Yarrowia lipolytica: one gene and its partner. The protein of the gene in region 2 purifies or fractionates together with the protein of the main gene of each other region. This does not show direct contact. Links are inferred from orthologs where the notes say so. Each region holds a gene or a part of one and is shown on either strand. Other genes may lie near its edges.

Region 1 (3,594 bases), on a different chromosome or scaffold from region 2:
TTTATATCTGCAGACCTGAAGGATGAAGTCAAACGTATGTATCAAAACTCCAACTGGCGGAAAATGTAGTTAGACTGCCTGACAAGGTCCTGGAACTGCTCTTCATCAAACGATGGAGAATAGTGTTTGTTGGTGAAGAGCTCGGGACTAGGTGCAGGAATGACAACACATTCCTTGTACGACTCTCCACATCGATATGCCGTGTCTTCGTTGGTGTTGGGAGCCCTGGTTTGCTCTGTCAGAGCCATAAGGGGGTCGTCGACAATATGAAAGGAGCCCTTGGATATATAACAAACGGCTGAGCGAATTTGTCCCTCAGAATGGAAACTAGCGGTTTGTCACCCTTGCCAAAGCTTTCCATTCAACTGTTCTTGAGCAACGTGGTATTAGATAAAACACGATAAAAGAAACAAGTCTAATGCTTGGTTTTGACAATGATCTGGAAGAGTACCGACACTCCTACTTGTGTTGTACAGTATATCAAGTTATTGAATCTTCTCAATAGCCAGACGCCCTCTTACTCGCCATCTTTCTCATCACTCCCGTACCGAGACTCATGTTCCAATAATTACTTGGATGGACAGTTCCTTGTCATCGAAAGCATCGAAAGCTGCTTGAGGCGATGAGCTTTTTGTTTGCCTGATCTCGGTCTGAAAAAGATCGCAGTGTTGTATTGAACCGAGATATTCTATCTGGTATGCTCATATTCGGTATCCATCTTCGTACTTGTACATTTGATATTCCTGGATAGAAAAGATAAACTATTATGTAAATATTTAACTGGGACACTGTTCAGAATCGCCACAACTAACTGCTGCTATCGCGGCCATAGTACAAGCAACCAATAACTGCACATACTGTAGGAGTACATACATACCAGTGTAGTGGATATATCATGACCAAATGTCGATAACCCCCAGAAAAAACTACCACTGTGTGTCTAATCGTATACGTACGTACCCTTGCCGTTGCTCATCTAAATCTGCGATACCCCCCATGAGACGTCTTCGGATCTCATTCTGGTCGTTATCTTGTCCTTACACTGTAATTAGTGCGTTCGACAGAAAGCGTGAACGGCCCGAGCAATACGCTTGTGCGGTTTATTTTCTCGTGTGTGTGGAATATTATCTCGTGTGACAGAGAAGATACCATTGGTTTTACTATGTCGTTCAATCAAATGGTTCTGTACATCACGAGTAAGTCAAGGCTATTAATTTGTAGGAGGAGACTTCTGAGATAGAACTACAAGTATGTATCTTGTATTACCGCCGATGTTGTTATAACCAGATATATTAATGGCAATGGGTAAGGATACACCAGTGCATTGTTCAGGGCAGTTGTCCACACTGGTGCATTCGCTGGAGCCATCGTTGTGTGAGTGTCTCGAAATCCTCAGCCACTCTCTTCAACAGCATCTCTTCAACTAACCCTAACTACTTTATCAACTAACCATAACTACTTTCTCAACTAACCCCAACTACATGCTTAACTAACGAGTTATGCGTGCCGATCTAGTATACGCACTCCAAGTAGAATTCACGACGCCAAACATTCCAATTGGGTCTCAACTAAATCACCCAAATATCGGTACCCCTTCCCTAAGCTCTACAATCATGTTTGATGGCCCGTCATCTCGAAAGCCCTTGCTGCTCCTCTAAGTTTGTCAATCTACGCCCCTTGCACCGTCTACCCAGTGTCATCCGAAAATAAACTTTTCCACTGCACGTGACGTGAAAATTAGCATTGAACCATTGTAGAGAGTCCCAACAGTGCACGCAGAAATCGCTGAAAACCCACACACTCTTCAGAACCACAATGCTGCGACTTTCAGGAGTTAAGTCCGCGGTCCGTGCCCGGGCTGCCGCCGGCGCTGCCTTCTCTGTGTCCCTTTCGGGCCCCCAGGCCGTGTCTCTTTTGGCCTTGCCTCTCGTGCGACATGCCACCAAGCGAGCTGGAGGAGGTAAGACCAACCTCAAGGACTCTATTGGTCGACGACTGGGTGTCAAGGCCACCGAGGGAACCTATGTCCAGCCCTCGGACATCATCTACCGACAGCGAGGAACCAAGTTTTACCCTGGCGAGAACACATGGATCGGTCGAGATCACACCATCTACGCCAAGGAGCCTGGATACGTGCGATTCTACTATGATCCGTTCCACCCCACCCGTCGTTTCGTCGGCGTCGGTCTGACCCCTGAAGCCCGACTTCCCACCGACCACATGGCTCCCCGAGCTCGACGGTTTGGCCGAAATGTGATTTCCGACCCCAAGAGAGCCGAGGCCGAGCTCGCATGGAGACCCAACAAGGAGCAGCAGCTGCTGGAGGAGATTTCCGAGCGTCGGGCCGTCAAGCAGGCTGAGGAGCAGGCCCTCACCGACAAGCTGGCTGCCAAGCTCAAGGAGCTGGGCTTCGATAACAGTGAGCTGGCTGCTCGAGCCCAAAAGATGGCCCACTACCGAACTCTGGGATGGACCAACGCTGAGGCTGCTCGGTTTGCCGACGCCTTTCTCAACACTTCTTCTGACGTCAAGGACTTTGATGCCAAGTTTGAGGTCACCAAGTTTGGAACCGTGGTGCCCAAGAGCAGCCCCGAGACCGTGGAGAAGGAGCTCAACGAGACCCGAGACAAGCTGACCAAGGTGCGACAGCCCAACGCGTTCATCTCGCTCTCTCAGATCGCCAAAATCGACAAGATCCTCGACGCCACTGTCTACCTGAGCCAGAGCCAGAAGGAGCAGCTGGCCGACGAGTTCAAGGTCACCGCATCGCTTCTGGAGGCCGTGCAGCCCCACGAGGAGGTGGTCAAGGCCGCCAAGAAGGGCAAAGGCAAGCTGGTCAAGGTCTACAACGTCCAGCGAAAGGGTATTGACTATGTTCTTGCCCCCAAGGACGCCCACTTTTCCGAGGACATTGCCTTCCAGAAGGAGTTTGTTCACTAATTGTATATAGCTAGTAGTAGCAGAAGTTGCAGTGCGTTTGCATGATGAAAATGAAGTTGTTTTGAAAAATTATGTGGGTAACGTACAAGTAGCTGACTTTTGACCCTATCTTACGAGTGAGTGCATTGTATATGTTGCGCAACGGTTACATCTCTGATCAAAAGAAGAACCTGGGTTTAGGCAGTCATATCTTGTTATTGCCAGGTCACGAACATGCCGGTAGCTAACATACAGTGCCCTATTTACCGTTCCTACACTCATAATCACATACAAGAAGTACGTGGTGTAGTTAGACAGTGCGCAATGCTATTGGTATGCTCCTGTTTCTATGTCACTATCCCTCGTCGCTTACGGCAACGACTCCTCGTTTTTAGGGTCGAGCTTCTGGGCCTGTGATTGGGCCTCCAGATCTGCTACAAACTTCTGGGCCTCCTCGTTGCCCTCCATGACATATCGTAGACAAACCACTCCTCGTTCTTTCAAAAACGGATTGTTGGCGTCAATGTTGCAGCAGTTGAGAATTTCAGGGAGACCTCCTGCCTTCCAGATGAGACTCTGCACCATTGCCAGCTGCTGTTTCGAAGTAGCAGATGCAATTTGAAGAATGGAAGACAGAAGCTCAATAGTGGCACTCTTGACATGAGGGTAGTCCGT
Region 2 (3,316 bases):
AGGGATACGGAACTTGCGCAGCTTGTGCCTGTTGTTGCGCGATTATGGCGGTAGTCATTTTGTACTTTTATAAGAGAGACGAGAAGCGAGATTGTCTGCGAAACGGAATTCTGCTGGTGAATGATAATGAAGATAATGGCGACAAAACTGGCAAGGGAGTCGTTATTGAGGGTCTTTCTGAGAGCTTTGATGAAGATACTGGAGTTGCGAAGAAGCTTGAAGTCGAAAAGATCAGAGAAGCCAGTGTTAGTGACGAAAATGTCAGCAACCTGTCGTTGGTGGTTATTTGATGGTACAGTGATTTGATGGTAGAGTAATTTGATGGTATAGTAGCTACTGTACAGTATGTATAATTGATCTGGTTTGCTACAATGTTTATGACAACAGACCTTTGTCACTACGAGTATGTACAGTACTCGCAAGATTTCTGTCTGTTTTCAAATTCATCATCTTATTAGCCTCATGGCTCACTATATACAAATCTGTACTCTTTTGGGTGTCCGGTATTTACCTGGTCGTCGATAGGATGGAGTCCACTCGCGACCAAAGGCCATTCATTAGCGCTTAAGATCGTCCCTGATGCTTCTCCTTTCCAATGAAAGGAAAGTTGAAAGCCGACAGCAACGCTCGGGCCTCGGAATCAGCCTGGGCGGTGGTGTGGATGGTGATGTGCATTCCGTACATCTGCAGGTAGGCGTCCTGGTTGGCCTCGACCTCGGGGAAGTTCTTGACGTCCTCAGGGATCAGACCAAAGGCGATGTTTCCGTTTCTATCTCCAGACGAATTTCGAATTCCGTTGAATCCAATGGCTCGAGGCAGAACCAGCTCTGTCAACGAGGTCATAAAGTCGGAAATCTTCTCGCCGGTAATCTCCACTTTGGCGCCCATGGGGTAGCCCTTTCGGAGCTTCCAGGTCATGATATTAGACCGGGACCGGACTTCCTTAGCAGCACAGCCGGTGATCTGCTGCAGCAGGAGTTTCTGGTTGATCACCTTCTCGTGGTCAAGAACAGTGCCGGGGTCTGTGCAGTTGATGGTGATCTTGGTGATGGCAGGGATGTTCTTCCAGGTTCGAGGGTGCACGTCCTTGGTGGGGGTCTTGTTGGGACCTCGAGGGGGCTGAGCAGGTCGTCCAAGATGGTAGGGCGAAGTGAAGTCCCATGGTCGGTGCTTATTTCCCTTTCGCACGGACTGTTCGTGGACATAGCCCATCAGCAGCATGTCTGACGCGACCGTGTTGTTGTAGTGGTCGACAACCCGGTCAACACGGGTGTTCTTGGGCACATACTTGTTGGACTCAATCGATCCAGGGTGGGTCAAAAGAGTCTTGGTGAAAGCCGGCTTGAGAATGTTCTTTTTGTATCTGTAAAGATGGTGAACCGGCGGCTTGATCGAGATCTTGGCGCCTCGAGACACGGCCGCAGAGGCGTGGAAGGAGCGGGTGAAGACCACGGACATTGTGAGTTGTGAGGGTCGTGATGTGTAACGCAGCACAAGAAGGTGAGTGAAAATTATTGACTTTGGGAGTTAGTAAGCAGGGATGAAAAACGCAAGTGATTATCCGTAAAAAAAGGCGTGGGTACTAGTTAGTAGTAATCAACCGACATGGGCTTTGTATTGGTAACATCATTGACTTCTAATATAGAAAATTTCCCGAACAAAACTACCCGGTCTAGAATATACACAGAATTAGCAATTTGGCGTGAATATTTGGGTCTGCCTTGAAAATCTCTCCAGAACTCGGGGAAAAATAGGAAAACACATAAACAGTCGAATAGCAGTCTGTATATGGTGAAATTCTTTGTAATATCCCTTCTTTATCTCCTGTTTTGGCGCAGTAATGATGTCCACTAGTAAGTACCAAATATACGCCTACATGACTTTTTGGCGTGCACATTCTTGTCCGGTGATTACAATGCAGTATTGGAGTTGTGTTTTGGGCTTGATAAGGAAGACTGTGAAGTGGGATGTGGGTGGGCGGTTAATTAGTAATCAAAGAGGTCGTTAGTTAGTCATCTTACAGTCATAGATTATGTAAAATATCACGTGACGTCTATGATCCAGTTGATGTTACTCTCATTTCAATCGCACTGTTTCTAGTATCGTTTCAAGACACATTGCTTCACCCTCCATACAGCTCGGTCTGCATATTCTAAGTTGCATGTATCAAAAAAGTATAGCCGACTGAATCCATCAAGACACATCCAGGACCATGAAATTCAGCCCATTGAGACCGGCGGTGTTGACGCGGATTCCGAATTTCGAAGACGGATACGACCCGCTATGGGACGATGAGGAGCTGTCGCAGGAAATCAGTCAGTACGAGATGTCTCTGGAGGAAGAAGGCACACCCAGTAAGCCTCCTCGGAAGACTCCTTCTCAGTCGAGATTTGCAACGGAGTACAGTGCCTCGAACAGTCCGACTCGGCCGACGAAACCGGCAGTGTCATCTCCTTTGAAGCAGGAGCACAGAGACGAGACTCAGGACGTCAAAGAAGACTCATATCGCTCTATCCACGATCTGTCTTGTGCAGAGTGGGAGGGTACATTGAACCGGGTGTCACTTATCCTTGATCAATGTCATCTGAGTCCCGTTGGAAATTTCAAGCGGGGTCATAGACGGGGTTCCAGTGTTAACAGTGTGTCTCTGGGTTCCCCGGTCGACCCTGCGGCTGCCATTGATTGGGGAGCTCCTTTAGCTCAGGTCGAGAAGGAACTCCAACATGTGGAGGACGTGTGGGCGTCTGAGGAGCTCAAACGACACAATGACGTGGCTCGACGGGAGTCTGTGTTTATGTCTCGGATGGGAGACGATCGGCTCAAGCAATCTGATGAGCTGGCCAAGAAGCGGGAAAAGAGAAACAGCGTGATTGTGGGCGGGTTGGTTGATCAATGGGAGGCTGAGAGACGGGAAGAAGAGCGGCAAAGGCTGGAGGCCGAGAGGAAGGAGCGTGAGAGGATTGAGCGTGAGAGAGTGGAGGCTGAGAGGAAGGAAAAAGAACGACTTGCGAAAGAGAAGGAGGAAGCTGAGAGACTCGAACAGGAACGACTTGCGAAAGAAAAGGCCGAAAAGGAGGCGGCCGAGAAAAAGAGAATCGAAGCCGAACGTTTGGCCAAGGAAAAAGCAGAGAAGGAAGAAAAGGAACGTCTGGAAGCGGAAGAACAAGCCAGAAAGGACAAACTGGGCCAGTTTACAAACTGGAGAGCGGTCGATAAGGAATTCCTCCAGTGGAAGGCCAAAATTGAACAAATCAAGAAGGACATCAAGGAACCGGTGGCCAACAATGCCGAAGTCAAGAAATTGTGCAATAAATGC

The links.
Region 1: the proteins of YALI1_B02881g (region 2) and YALI1_D15333g purify together in Saccharomyces cerevisiae (affinity purification with mass spectrometry; 3 studies listed by BioGRID, with this or other methods). This does not show direct contact. The link is inferred for Yarrowia lipolytica from reciprocal best matches to the Saccharomyces cerevisiae genes MRPL7 and MRP7.

Annotation. Positions count from the first base shown.
Region 1 is NC_090773.1:1,531,522-1,535,115, forward strand, and holds YALI1_D15333g (mitochondrial 54S ribosomal protein bL27m), read left to right. Parts: upstream 1-1,815; coding exon 1,816-2,940; downstream 2,941-3,594. Other genes in the region: YALI1_D15345g (uncharacterized protein), read right to left, coding at 2,951-3,045, 3,090-3,201; YALI1_D15362g (uncharacterized protein), read right to left, coding at 3,289-3,594. UniProt on the Saccharomyces cerevisiae protein: Component of the mitochondrial ribosome (mitoribosome), a dedicated translation machinery responsible for the synthesis of mitochondrial genome-encoded proteins, including at least some of the essential transmembrane subunits of the mitochondrial respiratory chain.
Region 2 is NC_090771.1:286,310-289,625, reverse strand, and holds YALI1_B02881g (mitochondrial 54S ribosomal protein uL5m), read right to left. Parts: upstream 1,459-3,316; coding exon 565-1,458; downstream 1-564. Other genes in the region: YALI1_B02910g (uncharacterized protein), read left to right, coding at 1-290; YALI1_B02874g (uncharacterized protein), read left to right, coding at 2,213-3,316.